Oreochromis niloticus: one gene and its partner. The protein of the gene in region 1 interacts with the protein of each later gene in a pairwise test. Links are inferred from orthologs where the notes say so. Each region holds a gene or a part of one and is shown on either strand. Other genes may lie near its edges. The genes, in order: protein phosphatase 1 regulatory subunit 3C-B and epm2a.

Region 1 (15,139 bases):
CTTGACCATGTGACTGAATTTGAGTCTCAAAATGAAATAAACCAGGACTATTTTTATTCTGGCTCTCATGCAGGTATGCTGTATCTAAGCCTCTTAAACAGAGTCATACATAACCTCAAAACCTGTCAGCATCTTAAGAGAAGTCTGCATCATGTGATGACTGCTGGCTATTAAGTATGCCTGATAGCCTCTCCTGATCCCTTTTTTGTCTGCGTGCCTTACGTGAAGACTAACAGCGCCAGCTGGCAGCCCGGAAATCACACCGGAGCCAAGCGTGTCATAAGCTCTCTCCTGTTTGCTGCTCTCTCTCACTCTGTGGTTGGGAAAGTGTCTCAATCTTCCTGTTATCTTCAGATCTGATGTAATATTGACATTTTGAAATTCTACTGAGATTTCTCCTTTTCTTCCTAAGGGAGAAAATTTACTGTCAGTAGCAGAGAAAAGAAAACAAGGAAACAAGCAAACGTGACTCGTAGTATTGACTGAAGTCATTTATTGCCCTATGGGAATGTCCCCAAGAGGGTTGTCCCCGCGCCCAAATTGCTCTTTGAACTGAACAAGCTTCTCGGATGAGAGGTGAAATGTTTTCAAGAAACTTAAAGAAGTCCAGACGCAGACCAAAGTTTCTTTTAGTTTCTGTTTCAACTCTCAGTATCACGGTGAGTCCACTCAGTTCTGACAGCTCGATTTAGTTCAGTCTGATTCAGCTCACCCAACCCTTCCACCCAATGTACTGTAAAGTGGCTGGTTATGAATACTAAATGACGCTTCAGTGAGTTACCAATACAACTCCAACAGAATGACTGGAATTAAAGTGCTGAACATGAAATCAACTGTCCACAGATTCACAAAGAATAGCGTGCCAGTGAGGAGTACTTGTTTAATGCCACAGTCAAAGTTCCACCCAGTTGACCGCTGTGGGCCATACGTACCTTTGTGCACAAAGAGCCCAGGCACCGTGACACTGACTGACTCAGAACTGGAGGAGGGTTGCAGAGCGGCTTGCAAAGGCCTTTGCAAAACATGTCAAAGTATTCTTGGACAAGAACCGTGAACCCTGAGTTGCATTTTTTGTGTTTAAAAGTGAGCATAGGAAAATATGTGCTCGTAGTAGAAGTGTTACATAAATACCATTTAACTTCCCACAATTAATAGCCTTCATTTTTTTTCTTCAGACTATAACTGCAAACAACTCAAGGAGCCAAATTTGTCAACACAACAATTATGTGACAGCTTTGTCAGTGTTTTGGGGAAGAAGTTTTTTCTCATGATCATTTAGCCTTTTAACATGATTATCTTTACACTGGATAACACATACAGGGAGTGCAGAATTATTAGGCAAATGAGTATTTTGTCCACATCATCCTCTTCATGCATGTTGTCTTACTCCAAGCTGTATAGGCTCGAAAGCCTACTACCAATTAAGCATATTAGATGATGTGCATCTCTGTAATGAGAAGGGGTGTGGTCTAATGACATCAACACCCTATATCAGGTGTGCATAATTATTAGACAACTTCCTTTCCTTTGGCAAAATGGGTCAAAAGAAGGACTTGACAGGCTCAGAAAAGTCAAAAATAGTGAGATATCTTGCAGAGGGATGCAGCAGTCTTAAAATTGCAAAGCTTCTGAAGCGTGATCATCGAACAATCAAGCGTTTCATTCAAAATAGTCAACAGGGTCGCAAGAAGCGTGTGGAAAAACCAAGGCGCAAAATAACTGCCCATGAACTGAGAAAAGTCAAGCGTGCAGCTGCCAAGATGCCACTTGCCACCAGTTTGGCCATATTTCAGAGCTGCAACATCACTGGAGTGCCCAAAAGCACAAGGTGTGCAATACTCAGAGACATGGCCAAGGTAAGAAAGGCTGAAAGACGACCACCACTGAACAAGACACACAAGCTGAAACGTCAAGACTGGGCCAAGAAATATCTCAAGACTGATTTTTCTAAGGTTTTATGGACCGATGAAATGAGAGTGAGTCTTGATGGGGCCAGATGGATGGGCCCGTGGCTGGATTGGTAAAGGGCAGAGAGCTCCAGTCCGACTCAGACGCCAGCAAGGTGGAGGTGGAGTACTGGTTTGGGCTGGTATCATCAAAGATGAGCTTGTGGGGCCTTTTCGGGTTGAGGATGGAGTCAAGCTCAACTCCCAGTCCTACTGCCAGTTTCTGGAAGACACCTTCTTCAAGCAGTGGTACAGGAAGAAGTCTGCATCCTTCAAGAAAAACATGATTTTCATGCAGGACAATGCTCCATCACACGCGTCCAAGTACTCCACAGCGTGGCTGGCAAGAAAGGGTATAAAAGAAGAAAAACTAATGACATGGCCTCCTTGTTCACCTGATCTGAACCCCATTGAGAACCTGTGGTCCATCATCAAATGTGAGATTTACAAGGAGGGAAAACAGTACACCTCTCTGAACAGTGTCTGGGAGGCTGTGGTTGCTGCTGCACGCAATGTTGATGGTGAACAGATCAAAACACTGACAGAATCCATGGATGGCAGGCTTTTGAGTGTCCTTGCAAAGAAAGGTGGCTATATTGGTCGCTGATTTGTTTTTGTTTTGTTTTTGAATGTCAGAAATGTATATTTGTGAATGTGGAGATGTTATATTGGTTTCACTGGTAAAAATAAATCATTGAAATGGGTATATATTTGTTTTTTGTTAAGTTGCCTAATAATTATGCACAGTAATAGTCACCTGCACACACAGATATCCCCCTAAAATAGCTAAAACTACAAACAAACTAAAAACTACTTCCAAAAACATTCAGCTTTGATATTAATGAGTTTTTTGGGTTCATTGAGAAAATGGTTGTTGTTCAATAATAAAATTATTCCTCAAAAATACAACTTGCCTAATAATTCTGCACTCCCTGTACTATTGGAACATAGGAGGGGCATTTGCTACAAATTCAGCTTCGCACACTTAGGTTGAATTCATATTAAACAACATATCTTTAATGTTAAATGACTTGGGTAATCAACATTAATTAACAGATGAAGATCAAAATGAGACCAGAGTGTTGAGCAGTAGTGTGGTATCATCGGAGTCATGTGTCAGGAACGCAGGCCGAGTCCAGTGTTGGTGAAATGTTGCAGCAGCCATAATCAGCTGTGTGTTTGTAACGCCCCTCATTCCTCCTGCCAGAATCATTTCCATCTCTTGCTCACGCTGGAAGCCACAACCAGCCGCTTCTGAACCGTGATTTGAATGCGCTCTGCACCGGTCAACGATCACCACACTGCTACCTGTGAAACTTTGTAGCAGTTTCTTGTGTTTAAGCAGCTGTGACCACAAAATACTCACCTGAAGGAAAGTGGTAATACAGTTGACCCCATCCGCCTCTTTCATAATGTGATTGAACCTAAATTTGAGCTTGTACAGCTGCAGGCTCGCTGTAATATTATTAATTTAATCCTTATTTTCTATTATATCCCAGAGGCCTGAGCTTCAAATGAGGATTTCATCTCAACTTCGGGGTTAACTTTGGCTTTTCAGTGGTTTACTTCAAGACTGTGAACCTAACTTGCTCTGGAGCAGGTAATTTTAGAGAGTAGAAATCACCAATCAGTTCTAATTAAAGCAGCATTGCCGTACCAGGAAGATCCCTCAGACTGCTGAATACACATGACATGAGGGTTTAATAGTGTCTCTGTGTATCCCTGATTAGTAATAAATATAGATTCTTAGATACAACTTTACTCCTTGATTTGATTTTTCCCTGCTGGCAGTAAACTATTTTATTGTTCTATAAGCATGCTAAAATAGAGCAGCTATGTGTACTTGCTGACCTTAGATAAAATTTATTAAAATGTTGCTTATTAATTTACATAAACTAAGCCAGTGTTTGAATTCTGTTTTTATACAGTCCTGATCAAAATTTAAAACTGCTTGAAAAATGGCAAAAAATCATATTTTGTATGGTTGGATCTTAACAAGGTTCCAAGTAGAGCTTCAACAAGCAACAAGAAGAAATGGGAGTGAGACAAAACATTTTTTGAGCATGAAATTTATTGAAAACAACGCTTAAACTGAAACAGGCTGTTTTACAGCTGATCCAACATTTCTTCAAGTGGTGCAGACGGCCGCACGAAGGGCGTCTCCTGTCTGGATCTGTTGTCCGTGTTTGTAATCTTCCCTTGCCATCCATCCCCAAAGGTTCTCAACTGGATTTAGATCCGGGGAACACGCAGGATGATCCAAAAGAGTGATGTTATTCTCCTGGAAGAAGTCCCTTGTCCTGCCGGCATTGTGTACTTTAGCGTTGTCCTGTTGAAAAACCCAGTTGTTACCACACAGACGACGGCCCCCAGTCATGAGGGATGCTCTCTGCAACATCTGGACATAGCCAGCAGCTGTTTGACACCCCTGCACCTCCTGAAGCTCCATTGTTCCACTGAAGGAAAAAGCACCCCAGGCCATTATGGCGCTGCCTCGTCTGTGGGGCATAGAAAACATCTCGGCTGGGATCTGCTCTGCTTGTCATGCCAGTAACACTGGAAACCATCAGGACCATCAAGGTTACATTCTAAAAAATGTAAAAATGTAAAAATTAATTTTTTTAATTTTTATTCAAAAATAAAAAGTAAAAAATAAAAATGACAATGAATCCACATGTTTGCGCAGATTTGGCCTTTTAAAGGCATGTGGTCCTAAACTTTTGATCTGCCACCTGACTAAAGATAACTGATACTAAAGGTAACTGAGCAGCAGCTGAGTTACCTTTAGTCTATTTTGTATATTTGACTTCTTCAGTCTTTTCTAATATCATGTTATGGTAATAACAGATAACGGACAGAAACCTTGAGCATATTGAACTGTCTCCACAGTGCAGGACCCAGAGCTCCAGCTCAGGCATGATCACTGCATGATCATTAGAGTCAAAACATTATGTGCTGCATCGATACCACAAACGGAGCACGCCCAAAGAATGAAGCACATTTGTTTCTCTCTTTTCTTTTGAGTGAAAATATGAATAAAATTTTCTTTGGTTGATGTGGATATAAAAAAAAGTCAGATGTGCTCTTCACACTTTCAGGAAACTTTATAAATAAACCATAATAAAAACTTTATTTAACCTCTTATGCAAACCTGCTATTTGAACTGTTTTCACTGCCTTCTTTATAGCACTTTATTTGGGTTTTTCCATCTGTCACATTTATTTGGATGTTTCTATATAAAGAAATCTATTTTCTGATGCAATCCCGAGGCCGTGTTAATATTGACCTTTAGACAGATAAGGCTGTGATAAGTAGTGTCTGTTGTCTGTAGGCCCATGTGAAAGTGGCGTGGATGTCACTTTGAGTCTAAAGTCTCTCTGCAGGAGACTCAGACGTACACAGGCGGTGTAAAGGGGGGAGACCCCACAGCCTCAGGAGGAATCCTGCCCTCTGACCTGAAGAACACAGGATGACATGCATCGCTCTAACTGGAAACTGTGTCTTCTCTCACACTGTAGCAGGTGTAGTTACAGGTGGATGAAGGCAAGAAGTCAGTCAGATCTTTAATTTTAGGCTCGTTCGGAAGAATCTGGAGAACTGAGGTGGACGGAGCATGTTCAAATAGTTTTTTTTCCCCTAATTTTGGTTTGCTGTGGCCTCGGGAACAAGCAGAGTTTACAAATTTTCACCTTCCTCTCAAATGATAACAAAAAAAAACCAAAACGTGAATAAAGCCATTAGCTGGGGTTTAGCTATTTCTGTGTTTGATAAAAAAATCCTTCTTGATGGGTCTAATCAAACCTTTCAGATGGTAATGTTTAACCCACGGCTGAAAAATCGATAAAACTTTAAAAATAGCATCTCAGTCTAAATGTCTGAAAGTGAAAACAGCAACAACTGTGAGTACGAGGAACCAGAGATACTTTTTGTGAGCCTTTCTCAACACTTCTCTGTCAGTACGATTACACTGAAAGCTACAGTATAAACATGATTCTGCTCTATCCACATTTCATGGCTACACTTTTTAAAACTTTGGTTCCTCATGTCTAAATCAAATGACAATGGTTAGGTTTAGGTGAAGAGTCGAAGCTACGGTGCTGCACGGCATGAACTAACAAACACTGGCATCTTTCAAATTCACTTTCACACTTCTAAACCTGTGATAAGAAAAACAATGTTATTATCTGTAGTTATTCCCAAGCTGCAACCACCCATTTATAGAGACCGTTACAAAAAACTCGGCTGGTCTCTCGGGCTTTCGGCAGGGGAGGTCAGTCTGGGTGACCCAAAACAATAGTCTAAAACAGCAACATGTAAAAGCTCTCAGAGATGTCACAAATGCTGTTTTGGGCAATATTCCTGTTACTGATGACACAAATAGAGTTTACGCCCAAACAAGGCTTACCAGACTTGTGTCGACACAATCAGCTTACGGACATCACAATAACCACACGCGTCACAGTGCTGTGATTTTAATCTTATATTGTTTGTTGTCAGTCTTTTCTTTTCTCTCTTTGCCTTTGCCTCAGGCAAAAAGCCCCGAGCCAAAAATCACCCACTTGCAGGCCTCACCTTGACTAATTCAAGTCACTAAAATCGACCTTGCAACTGTTGGTGCCTCAGGTTTGATGTGTGAAGTTCTTACCTTGCACTAATTATTGTGCCTGTGCAATGTACCCACACAGTCTTTGAATACAGCTTTTCTGTTAGCTGACATTAAGCTACCCTTAAAAAACAACGAACTTCAGAACCACTTGGAAACAGCACTACAGATTTGTCCATCTTTTATACACAGTCTGTTTCAGGCTTTGACATTGTGCTCTCCGATTGAAATTCTGGGTCAAAAGTACCAAACACTGTGAGACGGTGCCTTGCAACAGCACCTTTCCAATTTGTTTGTATTCTGTATTATATAAAAATATATTACAAAGGATCCCTGTGTTGGATTAAACAAGCCAGATATCAGTTTCAAGATTCCTCTCGGTGCATTCGCTCTTACATGAATAACCCTGCTGTGGCGGGTAAAGGGAATCCCAGTCACGATAAGGAGGAGCCACGGGGGATATGCTGCACTCCGCAGTGAGTAATCATCTCTAACACCAGCAGGGGTCCGTCATGTTTCTCATATAGCAGCTGAGGCAACAGGCAGAGGCATCTCAACCATGAGGCCCACGCAGGGCCACACACCCCTATCAGCTGGCTGACAGCCAGGTCAAACTCAAGCTGATTGGCTGGCTTAGATTTCCACTTACTTCCCATTGGTTGTTTCAGGAACCATATGACTGAATATGCTAATTATCTCTATGTGGCAGTTGAAATCCCTGAGTGCAGAGCAGCACAGGCACTGAAAGGCAGGAAGAGAGCGAGACAGTAGGAAGAAAAGGGGGAGTGACTGCAGCATGCACTCTTAGGAAAAGCTGCTCTGCAAACTTCAAAAGTCAAACTGAGAACTTTTAAAAACACTTTTTTCCTTGGAGCCTTCTATTTTTATTCCATGAGTGCTACAAGGTAAGCCTAACTGACAAACAACGAGGAAAACATAAAAGAATCTAGGTTTTGCAAAAGTAGGTCACGCCATCCTTGTGAGGATTAAATAGATGCGTCGCTTTTTTCACTGTGCATAAAGTAAAGCTATTTTGAAACTGGGTGGATTTTACAACCATTTTTGGTGACATGCTAACGAGTTTTATCAAACTAGAGCTGAAAGCTGATAAGTTAAGCGATATTTGTTTGGATTAGCCATCATTCTAATGTCGCCTGTCTTTCTCTTTTCATCTCCCTGAAACTTTCTCTAAATTTCTGAACTTTTATCCTCTCCCTCATCACCTCTCTTTCCCCCTTTTCCCTCCGTCAGTGTGCTCAGATCTTTCAGTCCATCAGCGATGCCCGGCCCAGTAATGCCGATGGATGTGGCTATGCGGTTCTACATCAGCCATTCTCCGCCTCCTCTTCGAGGCTTCCTCAGCCACTATGAGGACCTGCAGAGGGCCAAGAACCGGGTAAACCGGTCCAGCACCCATAACCGCAAACAGCAGCTCTACAAACCTCTGCGACCCTGCCTCAGCAACCAGCAGAAAGATGACAGTAACTGCGTGGGCTGGGACAACAGCAAGGCCGGCAAGAAGCGAGTGGTGTTTGCAGACACAAAGGGCATGTCGCTCACCGCCATCCACGTCTTCTCCAAATTCGATGACGAGCCATATCAAAGCAAGCACCTGGACGCAATCACAGACGAGCTGCAGTTCGACATGACAGACCTTGAAACGGCCACAATGGATCTAAAGATCAGCTCGGTTCGCAGCCTGGCATTAGACTTCAAGCAGCCCTCCGCCGACTACCTGGACTTCCGGAACCGCCTGATCCAGAATTCGGTCTGCTTGGAGAGCTGCTCCCTGCAGGAGCGCTCGCTCACCGGCACCATTAAGGTCAGGAACATCGGGTTTGAGAAGACAGTGCAGGTGCGCGTCACCTACGACTCGTGGGTCAGCTTCACCGACATCGACTGCACCTTCATGAACAACGTGTACAGCTCCCAGGACAACGACACCTTCGCATTCGTCCTGGAGCTGCCCTCCTTCATCCCGCCGCATAATCGGGTCGAGTTCTGCATCTGCTTCAAGACCCAGGGCCAGACCTTCTGGGACAATAATGATGGCAAGAATTATGTGCTCAAGCACATCGGCTGGAACGGAGAGGACCTGCACACTCGGCCCTCCCTCGGTTCTGCTGAGCAGAAAAAGTCCCCAGAGCAGAAAAACGAGGGGGTCAAGTTAGTGGAGCTCGAGTTCGATCAGTTTGGCAGCCCACGCATGTCCAGCGGACTGTTTCCCGGCTGGCAGAGCTGGGGTCAGATCGATAACACAGTGCCTTATTGGTGAAACCTGCAGCATGTTTGCTGAACTGGCAATAAAGCGCAATAAGACAAACAGACGGTGACAGGGCATTCAGTACGAGTCCAGCTGTGGGTTGACTCGCAGCCAGAGACTAAACTGAAGCTGTAATGTTCTCAACTGACCTGGTTTTTGCTGTAACGATTGAGGACGATGATGAATGATTGATGAAATATGAGTGGAGAATGACGAATATTTCGGGTTTCCTGTTGTAAAATATTCATGTGCCTTCTCATTGTGCCTGCCCACTAAAATACAAATTATTTGTACAATCCAAGAGAAATGGGGAGCCCCCTTTTGAGGGCCTGATGGATTGGGTAACATAAGCACTGATTGAGATCTCCCTAATAATGTGATATCTGTAAATGGAGCTGATCAAGTCCTTCATATTGAAGGGGGAAATATGGGGAGTGCATGGCGCAATGATGCTTCTCTACTACAGAAAACACAGTTGATTCATTGCTAATGAAAAATGCACACTAAACGTTTGGACATTAAAAATGGCCTAAACTGTAATATTTAAGTCATGCCGCCCTTTCTTTCCCTCCATGTAAATTGCACATACTTGTCTGCTAAAATGTTTGAGTGGTGATATGATTATGGAACTGAGCTGCTATTGTGTCTCAAGAAAAGTCGCTGCATGTGAGTGGTTGCTTCTAACTGGGAAGAAGTTTGGAAACGTCTGTGGTTCTGGTATGTCAAGAAAGAAATGATGTAAGAGCGAATGTTTGCTTTCAGAAGTGCAATTCTTGAAGATGAGTGTACAGTATGTGTGGCTGGAATCAAGAATTTTCTGTTTTGAAACAGCTTATGTTTTTTCTTCACTGAAGAAAGCTGTGTGCCCGGCATTCTGTGTATCACTTGAAGGCGTGTGTCGCCGACGCGCACCACGTCGTTATGTATTTCCTTTTTGAAATAAATTTCTATATTTGTGCTAAAATGTTACGAGTCCAGACCTGTCTTTGAAATAAACGCTGGTATCTTTGACGTGTGTTCGGGAACAAACATAACCCCAGTAGCTTCTCTGTGGTTTCGTTTACAGTCAGTCTTTCATGCAATTACACTGAAGACTCCTAAAAACAAGGTTTACATGCAAACAAGTATAAAATATAGTCTGCTTGTGAGCGGCATGCACCACAGGAATTCAAACCCTCAGCTCGTCAAAATGATTAATGGGCTGGTTTTAAATATCTCATAAATATTATTAATAGTTTAATACTCTATTCTTCCAATTACATAACTGATGTTTGTAAACACAGCAGCGAAAATAAGCGTGTGTTTACAAACGTTTGAGATGAATAATTTACGTGTGCCTATACCGGGAGTGGGCGGGGCTTTTATTCAATCAAAACAAGAAGGGAAAGTACGGCAAGACTTTATTATATGCAACATTGTAAATAGTCATGCTGAGTTACAGATTTTCTTCTATAGTTTTACTTTAAAAATCCATCTCTGTCACATCAGATGGATTTAACACAGGTCTGAAGAGCCTGAAGGCTTTTAGTCACTGGTATCATGTCCCCTGTATACACTAAAAATCTTCCCATAGATGCAGTTTAGCTAAAGCCGGCTTAATCACAATGACCAGTCAATCCTCACTGATCTACATAATGCATTCGTCCATGCATTATATCATACATGCAAGTTTCAGTTTCAAATAACAGCTTCCTTAATTTGATCAACTGCGTTCAGGACGTGTGACTCGCTTCACTGACTTCAGATGAGTTTCTTGTACATTCGGAGTGACTACAAACAGAACACGCCTCAGCTGCCTGCAGGAATTTGGTCTTTATTTCGCTTCCCTCCTTTCACTTGTCCGTGCGGCTGCTCGTGCTGGATTCATATTCAGCAGGAAGAATGGTGACCGGCTGGCATGCACAAAGGAAAGTCCTCAGGCTGGATCAGGATGAAGCCGGAATATTCTCTCTCTTTATCACGCTTTAACTCTTGGGGTGCATCTTTAGCTTTCATGTGTAGCTTTTACATAAGAAAACTCTCTACTCAAAGCACGATACAGTACCGTGACACACCGTGGATGAAGGCAGTGATGTTTTTATCCCATGACTGTGTTGGTAAAAGCAGTAACTCAGAGCAGATTCAGCTCATCAAATTATTGTTATCCAGTTGTACAACTTATTTTAGCATATCCTCCTCAAAAAGTATCCAAGCGTTCCTCAGACTGTTACTGGAGGCCAAGGTGATCCTATCCGGAGTGAGTTTCTGGTTATACAACATGTTTCTGAAGTGTTCAAGGCCAAATGCTTTACATTTTGTTCTAAATTTAGGAAAAAATGCAGCTTTGTGAAGTGTGAAAAACTCTTTACAAGACGTAGTTTATCAGATTTCTTTAAATCCTTTCTGTTAGTAATGAAACAATCTGAAACAAACTGAGTGGACGTGTGAACTCAAGCCCACTCTGCATGCACATGTACTGTGTGGAGCTTTCGTTTTCTTTGAGCTGGGTGATCTGTGCAGATTTCACTTTGACCTTCACTGCTGCTCCTACATTTCTCACTGTGGGGTTTACGGCATAAAAACTGAAAAGCTGATCCAGTATCAGCTTGAGAAGACGCTTTGATCGTGAAGTCAACCTGGCTTTGGGCTCCAGCTCTCCTCCACCTGCTGGCACGTGGATCCACATTCCTTTTAAACCTGTAATTTCCTGAAGGATCATCACAAAAACTCTTTCTGCCCATCAGCTTTTCATTCCGTTTGTGTACATGTGTAGGTTCCTACGCTCGTTGTCACTGTGTTCCCTTTTATTGCACAGCCTACTCTCATTTCCTTTTCTTCATTTGGTTTTCCTGTTTACATTCCTCTGCACTCTGTCTCGACAGAAGTGGTAAATTCAAGCGAGCAAATGAAAATGAAAGAATTTTTATGAACACCGCATCTGCACTTTATTATGAGTCTTTCTCCATCATTTCTAACTTCTGTGATAAATTTTGACACACAGTTACAGCAGAGCCCAAACAGTAAGTCCAGCTTATAAACCAAATGGCTGCATAACCTCTCTATAACACGTTTATTACCCTTCGGCACTAACTGATTACTCACTACAGCTTTGCATCATAGGTTTCATTGTGAGCGATGTTCTGACTGGACAAAAATCAACCATGTATTCAGGTGCAGGAAAGAGTTGTGATCAGGTAGTGACTTACCTCCCAGAAAATGCAAAGTAGACATCAGAACATGTCAGACAGAATTTGATGTAAAGGGGAAAATGAAGCACCTATAGATTTTTTTATGCATTTTTTGCCAAACAATGATATAACTAAGGGAAGTAGCCTTCAACTGGCAAGGTGTTGTCTCCTTCCTCTTTCTCCTGTTGTCCTCCTCTGCTCTCCGGAGGTCCTCAGTGTCTGTCCTCCTGCCTTCTTTCAAAACATGATACTACTTTCTCACCAAATATTATCATCAGTCTGTTATGATCCAAAAACAAACAAATGTGTTTATTTTGATGAGGAAAAACATCAATACCTGAAGTTTAAAATAAAAGTCCTCATATTTGTATAACCTCCAGTGATGTGGACCCCTGGGCTTGTGCCCAAAATACATCTTGTGCACCAATCAGACATAACATTAGACCACTGATGGGTGATGTCAATAACACGCCTGTCAGTGGGTGGGATATATCAGGGGGGCAAGTGAACATTTTGGCCTCAAGGTTGAGGAGTTTGGTGCAGAAAAATGGGCACGCATAAGGACTTGAGGTAGTTTGATGATGGTCAAACTGTGACGGTCAGCTGATTGGGTTCAATTCAATTTTATTTATACAGCACCAAATCACAACAAAAGTCGCCTCAAGGCGCTTTATATTGTACAGTAGATCGTACAATAATACATACAGAGAAAAACCCAACAATCATATGACCCCCTATGAGCAAGCACTTTGGCGACAGTGGGAAGGAAAAACTCCCTTTTAACAGGAAGAAACCTCCGGCAGAACCAGGCTCAGGGAGGGGCGGGGCCATCTGCTGTGATTGGTTGGGGTGAGAGAAGGAAGACAGGATAAAGACATGCTGTGGAAGAGAGAGAGAGATTAATAACAGATATGATTCGATGCAGAGAGGTCTATTAACACATATAGTGAGTGAGAAAGGTGACTGGAAAGGAAAAACTCAATGCATCATGGGAATCCCCGGCAGCCTACGTCTATTGCAGCATAACTAAGGGAGGATTCAGGGTCACCTGGTCCAGCCCTAACTATATGCTTTAGCACAAAGGAAAGTTTGAAGCCTAATCTTGAAAGTAGAGATAGTGTCTGTCTCCCGAATCCAAACTGGAAGCTGGTTCCACAGAAGAGGGGCCTGAAAACTGAAGGCTCTGCCTCCCATTCTACTTTTAAATACTCTAGGAACAACAAGTAGGCCTGCAGTGTGAGAGCGAAGTGCTCTAATAGGGTGATATGGTACTACAAGGTCATTAAGATAAGATGGGGCCTGATTATTTAAGACCTTGTATGTGAGGAGCAGGATTTTGAATTCAATTCTGGATTTAACAGGAAGCCAATGAAGGGAAGCCAAAACAGGAGAAATCTGCTCTCTCTTTCTAGTCCCTGTCAGGACTCTTGCTGCAGCATTTTGGATTAACTGAAGGCTTTTCAGCGAGTTTTTAGGACATCCTGATAATAATGAATTACAGTAGTCCAGCCTGGAAGTAATAAATGCATGAACTAGTTTTTCAGCGTCACTCTGAGACAGGATATTTCTAATTAGAGATGTTGCACAAATAGAAGAAAGCAGTCTTAAATATTTGTTTAATATGTGCGTTGAAGGACATGTCCTGGTCAAAAATGACTCCAAGGTTCCTCACAGCATGGGTCAGAGCATCTCCAGAACTGCAGCTCTTGTGGGGTGTTCCCAGTCTGCAGTGGTCAAGGAAGGAACAGTGGTGACCCAGCGACAGGGCTCACTGATGCATGTGTGGAGCGAAGGCTAACCTGTGTGGACCGATCCAACAGACGAGCTACTGGAGCTCAAATTGCCAAAAAAGGTCATGCTGGTACTTATAGAAATGTATCAGAGTTCACGGAGCATCACAGTTTGTTGTGTATGGAGCAGCATAGCACCAGATCAGTCAGGGTGCTCATGCTGGCCCCTCTCCACTACCGAAAGCACCAACAATGGGCATGAAAGAATCAGAACTGGACCACGGAGCGATGGAAGAAGGTGGCCCGGTCGGATGAATCACTTTTACGCTGATGGCCAGGTGCGTGTGTGTTGCTTACCTCGAGAACACCTGGCACCAGAATGCACTAGAGCCATCAGAGGCAGTGTGACGGTGTTACCTGGCCTCTTTCAGCAGAATAATGCACCCTGGCACAGAATATTGGTTTAGGAATGGTTTGAGGAGCACAGCAACAAATTTAAGATGTTGACTTAAATCTCGGTCCAATCGAGCATCTGTAGGATGTGCTGGACAAACAAGTCCGATCCACGGAGGCCCCACCACTCAGCTTACAGGACTTCAAAGATCTACAGCACATCTTTAGGGTCTAGTGGAGTCCATGCAACGATGGATCAGGGCTTTTTTGGCAAGAAAACCTTTGTACCAGGTTGGCTTTTAGTGTCAAAGGTGACCATATCTGAGATTTGGATTTACAATGATAGGCTGTATGGGTGTAACACAGATGTTTGCCAGGAAACATATACCCAAGTTTCATTCATTAAAACTGTAGCACAAACCGCTTCCATGGTCTGTTAGTAACCTCACAGCAAATCATTTTGTTTGTCAGATATTTCCATTTAAAATTGAACAAACAGTCAAAGAGTCTGGTTGTCAGTCAGCCTGTGTCTGTCAGAGCAGCCACATCTCTGACTCCAGTATCCAGGTGGTGTTACATCACCATCACCATCACCCCTTTACCGGTTTGATGAAGGGATACCAAAGTGTTTTTGTGTCAGGCTGTAAACATGTTTTTCCTGCTGTAAAGTTGGGCATTTTAACATGGAAGTCAGTGGGGAATGATTCACTTTTAGTGACAGCATCAAGTGGCCACTCAACGAGCTCCAGTTTTGGTCCTCCCACACTTGCGGGAGGACCGGCTTGGAGCAAATATGCGACAGGGCTACTAAACACTTAGTATGAGACGACTCTGTTTCACGAGAATGTACTCTCTGCCAGTGCAGAAGCAGCGTGGGATGTAACGTGTTTTATTATTGCAAGGTTAGAAAACAGCCAGACACATTCATAGGCCTATCTGGAGGTTTCAGCCATTCCTTCCCTTTGTCTTTCTCTGCTCCTGATAACATTTGAATGGTTGCTAATGGCGCAAGGAGGGGAGACAAGGCTCTGGACCTT
Region 2 (15,854 bases), on another chromosome or scaffold:
TCCAACACAGCTGATTCAAATGGCTAAATTACCTCGTCAACATGTCTCGAAGTGCTCCAGAGGTCTGGTAATGAACTAATCATTTGATTCAGGTGTGTAGAGCTAGGGTGAGATCTAAAACCTGCAGGACACCAGCCCTCGAGGCCTGGAGTTGGAGACCCCTGATTTAGAGTTTATAGCACAGTTGTATAAAATAAAAAGCACCAGTAATTACCAAAATCATTTTTTATGTTTTTGTAATGGTTAGTGCACCAGTATGCACGAGCTGATTCGTAAGTATTGTTATCCATTAATTTTCAAATTTACTGTTTTATAAAAAAGAAGAAGAAATAGTAAAGCTCATTATTTTTTAATTAAGATACCAAATTTTATTATTTACTCGTATTCCTGAACAGAAAAAAAATATGCTTGATTCAAGTCCAATGTGTTGGCTAAAATTTGGGTATAAAAATGTGGACTCACTTTATTTCCCTAATAACAATATAATTCTTAATTTTAAACAACTTTTTGAGAAATTTCTAAAATATTTATTTTGTGTTTTCATGACAGATGGCTTAACAATCATGTTAAGCACTGTACAATATACATTTTTTCACTTTCTTTTTTTATGTGGTTCAGAATTGACTCAAAGGGATCAGCCAAACAGTGTAAAAACGCTGGGAAACAGAAAAATTATCAAAAAAAACCAACCCAGTATGCAGGTACAGACCTGCAGGCAAACCTGACACACTACACAAACTGGCTTTAAAAATAACAACCACAAAGAAGGAAATTTATTCACGACAGAACGGTGGGAACAATCACGCTTTGTGTAAAGCTGTATGTTTTAATTTTCCTTTGCACGCATTACGCATGTGAGCTGTTGTCACTAGACCACATATACATCACTTTATGTGGAACAGAAAGGGGAGTGGACAATTTCAGCTGAACATTAAGACAGTGATTCTCAAAATAAATCTTGGAATTTTGTAAATAAGGACTGTGACTTTAAAGCCTGTAGCTTTTTAAGATTAGCTTTCTTTTATCACAAATCAGATTATTTTCCAGGTGATGCCTGAGGGGGGTGGATATCTTGGAAGAGAAGAAAAACACACCCGAAACAAACATCTTGCCTGACCAGTACTGTTTTCCAGTAATGAGAAACAGATTTAAGGGAAAAAAGCTGTCCAAACCTAACCACTTGTTTCTTGGAAAACTGATTTCAGTTTAACCCTTGTGTGGTGTTCGTATTTTTGTTACTCAGCCAGTGTTCATGGGTCTGGTGGACCCGCTAGCGTTTTGGCTTTCCAATTAACACTATCAAACAATTTTATGTTAAATTACTCAACAGATGTTTACTTCATCCCAATTACGAGCCATGTGAACAGCAAACATGGTTAATTTTTTCCCTTTACCTTTGTTCGATCACATTTATGAATTAATGTGCTTCTCGTTTTTTTAAATAAAATGTTATAAAAAAAATAAAATCAGTTATAATCAAGTGTAAATATCTTTATACCATATTTTGCAGGTTTTGATGGTATATACTGCCTAAAGGGGCAACGGCCTCTAAATGGCATGGGTCTCACAGACCTGAACACCATACAAGGGTTAACAAGCCAATTCCAGTGTAACTGTGGTGTACCTTCTCTGGAAAGGCCTAAAAAGATTACACCAAGACTGCAACTTTGTTCTCCGTTCCAGGCTTTCACTAGCAAAGGCAGACAGACACACTGGAGTGGCTAATTAAAGAATTTACCCATTGCATTAAGTAAAAAAAGACTAATAGTCAGTATGTGGGAGATTAGGTTTGTGCTAACATATGTAGAGGTATAGGAAATGCTACATTTTCCCTCTAAAAGTGTTATGCTGTAATAAAAATGCTTTGTAGTCTGCTATAATCCATCTTAACAGGTGTCTATTCAGTTAATTGAGACATTGAAGTCACATGACAATTCTAGCCCTGTCATAAAGCAGAAATTGTTTATATGCTAATAAACGCAGGTTTGTACAATCTTTGTTAGCTAGCATGAATTTAGCTAAGGTTAGCTGTGCTAGCCAGCAGGACAAAAGTAGCAAACCAACAGGAGGTTCACATTTCTAACCCACTTTATTTTAAATCTAATTCATTATTAACCACTCTCTCGTAAATGCAGTTGTCCTTCATTGTAAGAGGGTACGAAAAAACTTGAATGAGAAAAGCAGAATATGTTGGACCAAAGGTTTTTACTTGACCACAGCAACTGTGGAAAAAGTCCCCTATCATATGAGATCTTTGTTTGCTAACTTTTTCCAGAGTATGTCATAGAGCACTGGAAGGAGGATGATTTTTTTGGATTCCAGTTTTTGAATGCAATAAACCCAAATGGGATCAAGAGGTGCACAGAACTTCCCCCAAATCCCAGTCACAAAGGAGGTGGTGTGGCGGTGACGTGTCATGTGCCAAAGATTAGGAAGAGGGGCAGTTCAGGGTTTGGTAATGCACGGTTATTGCTTTTAGAATAGAATAGAATAATCCTTTAATTGTCCCACAAGGGGAAATTTGGTTGTAACAGCAGCCAGAAAGACACATATACAAACAAACAGTACACAGGACACAGAACAGAAACATACACAATTTTTTCTTACATATTTACATTAAGGACAATGGTTACTATAAACAGAGTACTGTACAGTTATTAAATTAAATATAAATAACTACAGATAAGAGGCAAACCAGGTTGTAGTGCGAATCGGTTGATTAACTTATTGCAGTTACAGCGCAGATGTAAACATCTATGATTGTTGGGAGCAGTTCTGATTGTACAGTCCGACAGCTGCAGGGAGGAAGGACCTGCGGAAACGCTCCTTCATGCATCTAGGATGCAGCAATCTCTCACTGAAGGAGCTCTGCAGTTCAGCAACATTTACATGCATGGGGTGGGAGACTCTGTCCATCAGAGATGTTATTTTGGCCAGAGTCCTTCTGTCTCCCACCACCTGCACTGGGTCCAGGGTGCATCCCAGAACAGAGCTGGCCTTCCTAATGAGTTTATCCAACCTCTTCCTCTCAGCTGCCGATAAACTGCTGCTCCAACATCCCACACTGTTTTTCAGATGTCTTCCAACAGGACGGTAAATACAGAAGATACTAGTGAAAATTTGCATTATGAATGGTTAGGGTTTTTTCAGAAGCATTAGTACAATATCTTTCAATATATTTATTATTACAGCTGCATCTACAGCCTTCTGAGCAGAACCCCATCTTTCTGCCCAGTGACTCTGAGGCAGACTGGCTGCTAGCCAAGCTGTTTATTAAAAGTGCAGATCTACTGGAACATCAAGCAGTCAATCACCTCATGAGCACTCACTATCTGGCAGAGGTCTTTGCTATTGCTACTTTCCGCACCTTCCCTGAGATCCATCCTCTCTACAAGGTAAAATTTGGTGAGATACACTATAAAACCCTTCTATAGTGATGTTTCTATATTACTTATATCATTTTATATCATATAGAGGACTTTACCCTGATCTTTATTCAAATTTTTACTTTGATAATTACTTTCTATGTGTACAGCTACTGATCCCACACTTCTGGTACACTTTGCACATCAATACTGTGTACAACTATTTTTGGACCTGATGGGACTTCAAGCAATGTGTGGATTCTCTTTTTTTATGCAATATATTTAGAAATTTCAACTAACACCTGATTAGCAACAGAGTTTACTTGGATATGAGGGGATAAAAGAGCTCATGAGACGGGGTCTCTCTTCCTGCAGCTCCCTCTGCCTGCCAGAGAACATCACTGCATGAAGACTGCAGTTGATCCCCAACTTCTACTACGCTGTGGAGCATCATCAACAGGTCAGCATTAAATTAAGAGTATGAAAACTGCTACAGTCTGAACTTTTTTTTCAATCATTATATAGTTAACAACAACAGTTGTCTTTAGGCACTTTTATATTGTAAAGTAGCGAGGGTGAAGTAGAGAAGTATGAACTTGATGAAAGACTAGATTTAGAAAGGGCAATAATATGGTGTCACTCGGTGGGGAAAGAAATAAATGGATCATAAAGACAGCCATAAATGGGGTGGGGTGGTATAGGGTGATGGGCTACAAGAGAAAGTAGACAAAAGGTAATTTGTGACAAATGCATGAGGACTAAAGAAATGGGAGGTGCTCAAGCATATAGACGCATAACTGTTATATTAACTTTAATCAAAAAAGAAAGCTTGGTCTTAAAAGCCATTCAAACCCAAAGCGAGAGCTGGTTCCATAGGAGAGGGATCTAATAGCTAAAAGGTCTGACTGCCATTATTCTTTTGCAAACTCTGGTAAACAAATAAATTCTGGATTTAACTGGAAGCCAATGAGTAGAAGCTAATATGGGAGTCTCGGTGAGTACTCTCAGGGCAGTGTTTTGGATCCGCTAAAGGTTTTTCGGAGCGTTTTTAGGACAGCCTGACTCTGAAGAATTATAATAGAGTAGCAAAGGAGTAGTAAACTACTTTGTCACTCAGAGGCAGGATGGCTTCATTTCAGCAATTCACAGTAATACTGGAGGCCATGTCATTCAGGAAATCCATTCAAGCATTACATAAACATCTACAAATTAATTCATTAATAAACAGTCTTGCACATTGTTGGGAGTGTGGTGATTAATTCTTAATTTAAAAATGCTGCAGTGATGTCAGATTCATTGAAAGTCAAACTGTCATGTTTTTGCCAGCTTTGTGAGGAATATAGTGGATTAATACTATCCGTCAGACGGCGACGTGCAAAAAGACACAGAGCTTCAAAAGAGGATCCACCAGATCCATACTTATAGTAGCATACTTATACTGTTGAGGGAGTGATCAAGTTCATCACAATGCTGATCTTCACAGTGACAAGTCAACTCGCTGCAAACAATAATAGACAGGTTGGGCAATGAAATGCATAAAGTGTTTCAATTAAAACATCTTTTATATACAGGTTGTCAATTTTAGATCACATTTTATAGTAAGCTAAATTTAAAGTCCAGAGATTTCCTGATGATTTCCAGAGGAAGCTGTGTGCACAGCTGTGAAGCTTATTTACTCAACACTTCTTTATCTAGCTTGATTACCACTCCTGGGTGTCCAATGGCTCGCTCTTGCTGTGTGTGCAGACAATTTTGGAGACTCTCCCAAATGTTGGAGAGACAGTGGAGTTTGCAGGAATGGCTCGACATCTCTCTCAGAAGTGCACTAATGTATTAAGTTTTACATTTTATCAATCCATGATGCACAACCCTCACTAGCCCCTCCCCCCAAAATCACCACCTCCAAAGAAAAAAAAGTAAAACAACATATACATATATATATACATATATATATTTTTTTAATCACGGTTCTGGTCACAATTCTTAACTGAAACTCCTTCATCCATGGACACTTATTGCTTATTGTGAAAGCTTATTGCTTTCACTAATAAGCCCAGACATGAAGGTAAGACCAGATGTTTGGTATTTGTACAAACTGAGGTCCCTGATCAAAGGCCAAAACTGTGAAGTAGAGAATGGCCAGATGTAACAAAAAGGTTTTGTAATTCAGGTTTTTAAAGATCATATCACTAAATCGGTTGTCCTTTTTTCATTACTTTACAGGTTCTCGTGGGTCAGTGCGCTGAAGAGCGATTTGATGAGTTTGCCCTAAAGCAAATGATTAAGGAGTTTCAAGCCCAGCTGTACAAACTCAGTGAAGCAATTACAGGAAGAAACTCTCAGCTTGAAGTACCCTCCACATATCTGAACCTGATTAAAATAGAGAACAGCATAACTATTTAAGAAAGGTGTCAGCTGGCAGCACCAGGCTAACCTGCATGGTAGGAGGTTAATTCATACAACGGATGCCTGACAAGGTATTTTAGTACTAGAACAGTTTTTTGGTTGTAACCGAAAAACTTTTAGTGTTTTTATTGAATAGTTACAGGCTTTTACACTTTTTTTAAACCTTACATTCATGTGGAAAGAAGAGCAACAGATTTGTGGAAGGTGGATTATTCTAATGTGGTATTGTCACGGCTGCGGGAGCAGACACGTGGAGTGGTGAGAGAAAGGACCCAAGTGCAGGCATTTGGACCGCAGAGCTTTATTTACAGTGGGGAAAACGAAATACAAGCAAGAGCTAAACATGGCAGTGACTAAACTAAAACAAAACCTAAACTGGGTGAAACTAAAAAATGATACAAAGGAACAAAAGCCTGGGACTAGAAACCCAGGACATGAAACATAAAAACCTGAGACAGAGGAAGACACAGGGCTTAAATACACAGGCAGGACAACGAGCGATTGGGGAACAAGGTGGCAACACAGCCGGGACAAATCAGACATAACAAGACAAAGGAAGCAAAGCAGAATACCCAGACATAAGACAAGGACTTTCAAAGTAAAACAGGAAGCACAAGACATTCGCAGACTCAGAGACACAGACTTGACATGACTGACTGGATATGAAACATAGAACACAGGGAAGACACAGTTACTGAAACCAGGAGCTGGAACTACAAATATAACATGAACAGAAAACCATCAACAAAACCAAAGCCATGAATAACAAATAATCATGGAATATAACTTAAACACAAAAGCCATGACAGGTATAGTGAAAAACATGAATTCTCCAGAGGGATTGTGTTTAGAGTCTCTTGATTATACAAACTGATCCTTGCCACCAATTGCACGCATGTCCATATACTGCGGATGCTCACATTAGAGGAGTTGGTCACTTCTAAAGTGCAGTATTAGAAACACAGTGCATGTACAGCATATAGCATGCATGGTGGCAGTGTACAACAATTATTCAGCTTTAACTGATCAAATGGTGAACTGCATGTACGGATCATAATTTCATCCGGTCAGATGAGTGGCAAATTCTGTGCATGATGGCCTAAATTCTACTGACAAGAGAGCACATCCACAAGTCAAAAATGAGCAGATCTAATAAGGGAAAAACAAGTAATCTAACAAACTGAATACTATGTAAGTGCAGATTTTACACATGCTCAAGAGACGGCTAAAGAAGAATCAATACAGTTTATAAGGTTGACCCTCTTTATTTGAAATCGAAGCTAGTTGTGCAGTCTTAGAGGCAGCTGTTCTCTAGAGGCAGGTAAAGGGCAGGATTCATCTAGAAAAGTGCTGCTTTATTAAAATTCTTCTACTTTAAAAGATGTGTGTAGAAGAACACAAATCACCATTTAGGGTCGAGTCAGGTCCTGAGCATACCTCTGTTAATTAAGTTACTGTGCCGTGTGATTAATGCACACATTGCTGGTGTCGTTTTCTGCTGCAGGATTTGTTCAAGTTTCTGTTATTGCCTAATCTCTGAGTAGAAATGTGATTAAAACCCTGAAGCACTGCAAACCTATCGGCTCACTGCAACACAGAACCTGGCTGCCTAACACGCATCCTTGCTTTTCTTTGGATTCTCCTCCTTCTCGTGCACCACATTACTTCTACTCTGTATAAAACCAGCATTTTGTCATTCTTCTTATTTTTGTTATTATTACTGAGGACCAGAAATATTTGGATCTCAGCCCTATACATGCAGGGTGATTCTGAAGGATTAGAGGACAGAGCCCAAGTTTTGGCATGTGTTTGTTCTGGTAATACCTTCTCTCATTCCAAATAAATGAAAACACCTAATGGCAACAATCACAACCACACCAAACAGCTTAAGATGTGTTTAATTTTTTTTTTTTTTTTTTTTTTTTTACCAGATTAGCTAAATGTAAATATTTTATTTCTTTACTTGGAGAGCAGGTATGGTGGAGCATCACTGTGGTGACCTCTAGAAGCACTACATGTTTAAATGTAAGCATACAGTAAATATCCACCAAAGTTTTGAAGGTCAACTTAATAATTTATGGATTAAAAACTGACAAAAAAACCTGAGAACTTACCATTACCAGTGTGGTGGTTTTGTCTACACATAAAATGTACTATATAAAAATGTTAAATATTGTGTCAAGTTTGACCTCTGACTTGTTCTCGGTCAATAGCTGATCTGAAGGCCAAAGTGATGATAAAGCTATGTAGAGCTATTTAAAACTATGTTTCTCACTGCCAATGTTTGTGCTGACAAACTACAAGCATAGAGGGAATCCTATTCTAAATATTGTTTTTAAATATCACATTACTTTGTGCTTCTTCTTTTTTTACCTGTTTTTCAAGTTCGAATGAGGTCAAACAAATTTTATTTTTAAAGCTGTACTTAAAATTCAAGTGCCACATTTAGAAAATTATACTGGTATCTGGGTTTTCTAAATATCACGTTATAGTTTGCAAAAAAAATCATGTCACATTTGACCTCTGATCTCACTTTCGCACTTCACGTCTGCCTTTCTTTCAAATCTAAAAATCTTTAGTTAAAAGTATTGTCAAGAGAAATATAATGAGCTGCCTACAGTAGTTAGAAATGCACTGTTATATAATATTATATAATAAACTTAAGTTATTAGTGTCCAGTTATTTATTAAGCAATAGATGTTATCCATCTGTCATGCTTCCTTTTTTATTGCACTACAAAAGTACGTAAAAAAAAGAAAGAAAAGAAAATGAATGTATAGAAAATATAATACTTTTCCCTTAAGAGTAGATGCTGCCCAGAGAGTAATGTGTTTTCTGAAGCGCAGTATTTTGAGCTGTCCAGTCTCACGTGGCTTCTGCAAGGTGCCCGATAATCCTGGCAGAGTGGGACCTCATTCTCTTTCTCTTGTCTTTGCTGCAAACTGAACTATCCAACTGCACCCGGTTATTTTTAGGCTACACCATACAGTCACAGCGTCGCGAATGTAACGCAATAGCTGCTATAACATTATAGGCCATAATAACCCATAAGGTCGCCATACCAATCGGCTGAACAGATTTAGGCAAGCCTGCGGTCATGTTGTTTAGATTCGGCGTCATTCTCACTCCGGAGTCCTCGGAGGTCGACGTCTTTGTTTTGGGTTCGCGTGCTGAAATGGGGAACTGGGACCCGAACAGAGCGGTTCGGATGAAAGCCACACAGAAACTCCCGTCACCCGCAGAACCGTGTCTGTGGATCGGTGAGGTGCACCTAGCCGAGCCCCACAGAGACACACTGTGGTTCAAGTTCATCCAAAGAGTCAGAGGCACCTTTATCTGGGAAGGTACCTGTGCACTTCTGGTTTAATGTGCATCACATCTGGTTCACACGTAGACGCTTTTCCAAACGTCTCACAGATTTGCTGTAATTATTCTAAGGTTAGCGGGGAGAGACATAAATATGACTGCGCCATGTTTGGTTGCTATAGTGCAATGTTTTCATAGTGCCACATGATGGCGGTAAGTGACACTAAATGTTCAGTGGCTAACAAATTGCATTGTATCTGCAAACCTAAAAAAGTTTAATATTTCTGAAAAATCCGAAAAAACTATTGAGTCTTTTATTTTAAATTAACAGTTGAAATTCAGCATGTGAATATAACGGTTTACAGTTAGAGTTCAGCATTTATACTTCATCATCTGCACCCAGGAATGAATGCACAGTAATGCAATGCTGGATTCCTCTGAAAGTTTCTTTAACATGCAAGCCATATTTAATTTTATGATATTTTTGATGTAATATAAATGGATAAAAGGATTCTCATTTGAAATTAGTCATATGGTCTTAATGTTGGACACAGGGGCGTAATTTCCAGGGGGTTAGGGGGTTATGACCCCCCCCCCCCCAATAATCAGACCCAACCAATATACCCCCCCCCCCCCCCCCCCAATAAAATTATGAATTATCTTGCATAAATAGGCTGTTGATTTTCTTTACTCGTTTCAGGTATTACCAGCAAAATAGTTGCATGTTTAATCATCTAGGAATCTATCTATTTATTTAGACAGAGATCTTGACCCACCCAATGTTCAGCACAAAGTTACGCCAATGGTTGGACAGTTTATAACAAGGGTGTCAAACATAAGGCCCCGGGGCCAGAATCAGCCCGGTGAATACTCCAATCTGCCCCACTGGATAGCTTTAGAATATAAGAAGCAGGGCGTAAATTTTTGACTTTTTTTTTCTATCCTTATAAGTTTTACAACTTCTCCTGTTGATAAAGAATTCCCCCCCCAGTGGCTATTTATAGTACATCACAGAAATTAAGTTATTTAACAGTTAAATAACTGAAAAGTGCCTGTTTTTTGTTTGTTTGTTTACAATCTACTATAGAAATGTATGTTTTTTACAATGGTCCCAGAAAACTGAAACTCATTTCTATTTTTATGTAATTTGACATATTTTTGTCATACAGTTTAAATCATGCTGACACATTTCTTTTTCATTTACTACAACACCATTTCTTTATCATGTAGAAAAACTGAGAAATACTGTTGAAATCTGTTTCATATTTCAAGACATCTCAGCTAAACTTTACACTGGGCCACATGTGACACACTGTTGAAAATGAGTTTGACGTCCCTGATTTATGTGCATTAACCTGCTTGTCATCTTTGTCACCAGGAAGCGGGCCAAGCCATGACAGATGGTGTACATATGATGATAAGAATGTGGTGGACGGCGTGTATTGCCACCCGATCGGCCACTGGATAGAAGAAACAGGGCACACAGATGAGATGAGGCACACCACCAACTTTTATTTCAGTGTGGCTGGTCAGAAGGCCATGCATTTCTCCAGGTAATACAGTACATATACATGCTTTCTGCATGATGTTCTAATCAAGGGAGCCTTAATATAAGATAATTTGCAGTGTTGTGCGTTCGTACACTTCTCACAATTTCGGTAAAGAAAGTTTTTTGCACTTTTACTAAGTAATTCTTTGATGATCACAGTTCAGTGGGTTAGGAAAGGCTGGTTTTATTTTATTTTATTTTATTTATTTATTTTGGTGATTGATGTTTGTGACAGAAGGATAGCAGCGAGACTGAAAGGGAACATTTACAAGATGGTAGTGAGACCTGCTGTGATGTATGGTTTAGAGATGGTCGCACTGACAAATTGACAGGAGGCCAAGCTGGAGGTGGCAAAGATGAAGATACTAAGATTTTCATTAAGAGTGACCAGGATGGACAGAAGTGGAAATCAGTATATCAGAGGGTCAGCTCTGGTTAAGCAGTTTGAACACAAAGTTAGAGAGGCAAGGCTGAGGTGGTTTGGACGTGAGCAGACGAGGGATAGTGGACAAAGAATGGTGAATATGGGGCTGCCAAACTGACCACAGATGTTGAAGTAAAGGTGAAGGATGCTAGCAATAAGGTCAGATGGACACAATTGGTCCATCTGGAGGAACTATTACCCAGTAATGTATCTAAATGTTAATTATTAAGCAAGAAGCTAATAAATAGCTCTTTAATCACCATTTTAAAACACATTTCTTTTACTCTGTGTTGCATCTTTTCTCTATAATTGTTACATCTGAGAAATCAACTGTGGCAGCTTTGAAATTAATAATAAATTTTATTTGTAAAGCACAAAAATGGGCATTTCTATTAAAATAACCCACTTGACTCAAGTGCAACATCAAACTAAGATTAAGAAGCAATGTGATTCCATTGTAATTATATCGTTAACATAGAAATTAACGATATAAGTTAAGCTAAGAATGACAAAAAATCTGAAATCTACATTAGAAGATGGTCAAACAAGATTTTAAAAAAACAAGCCTTACAATATAAATGGAACAGTGATTTAAAGAAGCCACAGATGAGGCGATGCGTATTTCCTCAGACAGGTCATTCCACTTCTGAGGAGCTCTAACAGCAAACGCCTCCTTTCTCTTTAAGCATAAAGTGAGAACAGTTAACAGGTTTCTGTCTGAGGAGCTAAAGAACAAGCCTGTTGGATATTTTCATAACATGTCATGGTTGTCAGTGGGTGACAGGTCTGGGCTGCAGGTAGGTTAGTTTAGCGCCCCAGACCCTTTTGATACGGAGCTTCCTTCTCTGAAAATGGTGTTATTGGGATGACAGCGAATGTTGATCCAACTATGTAACTCATGAGGCAAAAGCCAGCTCAAGCCAGCAGTAAAGAAAAAAAAGTATAGCAAAGTCAATCTGGCAACCTAATGGAAAATAGGGTGTAGTTTATAACTTAATAACCTGAGGTGTAGAGGTGCTAGTACACACATCTTGTTACCCTCGGAAAGAGCCTGAGAGTCACCTGTGGTCCATCTGCGTTTCAAACAAGTCTCACCTCACTGAAAGTAGCTCCATGTTTAATATACAGATGTGGGAATGATTTATATATCTGTTCTGCAAACTCTCTGCAAGTAAGTGAATAAAACATCTTCTCAGAAATATAGAAGTATTCCTTTGGGGGGTTCTTTGTGATTTTTAGCCATTTGGACATTAATATATTCTTTACACCATGTCTAAAACTTCCAGATTGCCACTCGTGTTGTAGCCTGGAGCATATACAAATGGAGATCCACCCCACCGCTCACTCCCAACACCACACTTCCTCTTCAGCCACATACGCACACACACATGCATACACGTAATAATGAAATGCAATGGTTTTTTAATCTTTTCTGCAATATTTGCCTAATAATGCAATAAAAATTAGTTAGCTCCTCTGGGGGAAATTAATATCTATATGATTGTTTCTTTGTTTCAGAATTAAGTTTTGGTAATGTTGCCTTCTTTTGTCGGTCTGCAGTTTTAAGAGAAGCCAAAACAAGGCCAAAAAGAAAAAGGTGGGAGGTCCCTCTGCTGCAAACTGAGCCTTGGATATTATAACTCTGTGGCATGTGTCTTAAAAATTATGCCCTCAAATAGTTACTTGAACAACCTTGAGAATTGCATCACCCTGTCTTCTTACACTTTTCCTACAGTTTTCAAACTTAAGCATATTCAGTAACGAGCCTTGTGCTTTCATCTGTATTGTCCATGAACGCCTAATTTCTTCTCCATTCTGACACTAAAACGTCAGAGAAGATTTTTTCGAAGTACTTCAGCATTAGTCATGTCACAGTACCCTTTCTTCCTGATAGTTGTTGAGTTTAAAAACCTTCATTCTTTACAGGACAGACAAAGCCTGGTTCTCGTCTTTGTTTTTTAACCTTGCCGTTCCTCATTTAGTTATAACTGCTCTGTCACTTTTAAAATGATTGCCCATAAAAAAGGTAGACCACTAGCAGTTGTATTATCACCTCCTTAACCTTGCTTGGGTTCTTAAGAGAGAGGAGATGGCATCGTTCAGAATTCATTTGGATTTCTAAGGCAATTCATACAGCGCCGGCTACTTGACTGATATGTTATTCTCTTGCATTACTTAAACTGGATTTCAAGATGGTTTAAAACTGTCAAAGTGTAAAAGATGAACTTTTAAGTACAAGTGTATTGTTAAACATATGTATATTAAGAAAGTTAATCTTATAGTGTTGACTTACTATCCTTTCTTGGGTCAAAATAGGTGCAAATAAGATTCCAACACCTGTTGTCAGAACATTTTCTGTCTTTTGCTACTCATTTCATGTTCAGGTTGTAGCCAGTGAAAATGAAACTTCTGTAGATGTCCTTTGCCTAAGAGCTGGTGCCATAAAAAATATTATAAAATTATATAATAAAAGTTATTTTAGATAGTTTGAAGGATGTGCAGTACTGTGCGAAAGTCTTGAGGCATCCTTCATTTCTTTATATTTTGCTTACAAGGAGCCAGACCCTCGTGTCAGGTCAGTGTTAAGCCTCTTAACACTGACCTATGAATCATTCAAGCATAAAAAGGGCACCTAACTCAGGGGATGAACCAGTCTTGTATGTCTCCTTCAGAAATCTGAGGAAACTGGATTAGAGAATGACGAAAAAAACAAGTGGCAGACCTAAAAAATAAAAAAAACCCTGATGAACAGTATCTGAAAGTCACGTTCTTAAGAAAAATCCAGCACACACCTGTCAAAGGCCCTAAGAAATGCACGAGGCCCAACAGTTGATCTATCGACTGTTAACTGAAGGCTTCTTAAAGATGGTCTTAATAGAAGGGTGGCCATCAAGAAGGGAAAATGAAGTTAAAGCTGAGGTATGGCAAATTACAGTCAGTGGCAACAGGTCCCGTGGAGTGATGGATCCAAATGTGAAATGGTTTTCTTTGTTGGTTGTTGGGAATCTTATCAACATTGATGGAATTATGAATGCAGGAAACTACCATCAGATCTTTATCCATCATACAATATCATCTGGAAAGCATCTAATGAGCAGCAGTTTCATTTTTCAGCATGCCAATGGTCCCAACCCCACTGCCAATGCAGTAAAAGCATACCTGGATAGAAAGAGACACAAAAAAAGACTATCAGCCATGGATTGGCCTCCCCAGAACACTGCATATCCACATAACTGCAGCAATCTTGAATCATCTTGACAGAGAATGGAACAAAAGGTTGCCACATCCATAAAATCCAAACTCTGTTTCTGCCTTATTTGCTGTATTTCCATGTATGTTTAGCATTTCAATAAAACTCCGCAACCATTTCCCATTTTCCCAGCAAAATACGAAGAAACCTGGGGTAGCTCAAGACCTTTTTTTTACAGTACCGTATGTCCATGTTTCAATGAAGGCTACATATTGGTCTTAAATCGCAGAGACCAAGTAGTTACACAGCCTACCGGTGCATGCCCTCCTTTTGTAAGGCACAGACTCGGTGCCATGGCATACCAGGCACTTCAGAAATTAGCCCCAGACCCCTGAGGCAGCAAGCACATAACTTGCATAAGAATGAGCTGGCTTGGCTTGTGCCATCAGGTTTTAATTTGTGTCCGAAGACCTTACAAGGCTTATGTCAAGGACCTGTGTTCAATAGGAAGCACTGTGCCTTTGTATCTTCCCTGTTAATAGCTTTTTAAATTAGTCTCTCAGACCTTGCATCCATATAGCCCAAAGTGTTACACACACTCTGCAGTAAGTCATTATAACATTCGCGGGGAGACCACTCACTTTGTAGCTGGTAAGTCATCTGTCAAGCTCATATTTAGAGAGAAGGCCCAAGGCTTACTCAGCCTTTTTTTATGATGTTTATCATTTTTATTTCAACAGATTGAGACATTTGTTTTTCAGTTTGATTCACAACTAAAGACCAGAGGCAAAAATGGCATCTTTCTCATAAGATAGGATATTCCTGCACTTTTAAGTGTATGAGATCATGAAAAGGAAAAAAAAATAAACTCTTAGAATCGTTCAGTGCATCTTTTGTTTCCATTTTAAAATAAACTAGTAGGCAAAAACGCTAGACACATTAGAAAGGTAACAAGAAATAAGGTTATACGCAACTTGTTGTTTTTCAGTTTATATTGGCTGCTTGGTTCATATAATAAGAGTCCTTCCATCCATCTGTTTTCTTAACCACTTATCAAGGGTCATAGGAGGGCTCCAGCCTATTTCAGCAATTGTCAACTGGTAACCAGTCCAACACTGGGGTAATAGAGAGGGGCAATTTATGCATTTAGAATTGCTAATTTGTACCATAGACAGTACTATGAGAGGAAGGCACAGTGGAAACAACCAGACTCCACACAATTCATCCACATATGACATATCACTAAACGGTGATATGATGAGGTTTGTGGGGAGGGAAAAACAGAGGTGAACAGGTGACAGGAAGTTAAGCTCCAGATACTTCCACTGCAGAGCTGCTCTGGGACGTTAGGTATTAAAGGTGTCGCCTTTGTTTTGCCTGTCACGTCCTAGTTGTTGACTTTATGCATGCTAATGAACACCAGCGGAGTCTGCCTCAAACCAGAGTGGTCGGGAAGAAAATTAGGGGGATGAGGGGTCAATAAAGCATCATGAGGAACAGTGTGAAGAAGGTAAGACAATGACACATAAGTGAACCACTTTTGCTTACTGTTGACCTATAAGGGTCAGCTTTGTTCTGATAGCTCTGTCATTATTGCTTTGCTTATAGGAGCAC

The links.
Region 2: the proteins of protein phosphatase 1 regulatory subunit 3C-B (region 1) and epm2a interact in binary tests that used the Homo sapiens proteins (3 or more experiments, as listed by UniProt). The link is inferred for Oreochromis niloticus from reciprocal best matches to the Homo sapiens genes PPP1R3C and EPM2A.

The regions. Positions count from the first base shown.
Region 1 is NC_031978.2:881,377-896,515, reverse strand, and holds protein phosphatase 1 regulatory subunit 3C-B, read left to right. Parts: upstream 1-7,291; 5' UTR 7,292-7,440; coding exon 7,441-7,454; intron 7,455-7,800; coding exon 7,801-8,824; 3' UTR 8,825-9,702; downstream 9,703-15,139.
Region 2 is NC_031980.2:11,214,093-11,229,946, forward strand, and holds the start of epm2a (laforin), read left to right. Parts: upstream 1-8,641; 5' UTR 8,642-8,868; coding exon 8,869-9,115; intron 9,116-10,455; coding exon 10,456-10,630; intron 10,631-15,854. UniProt on the Homo sapiens protein: Plays an important role in preventing glycogen hyperphosphorylation and the formation of insoluble aggregates, via its activity as glycogen phosphatase, and by promoting the ubiquitination of proteins involved in glycogen metabolism via its interaction with the E3 ubiquitin ligase NHLRC1/malin.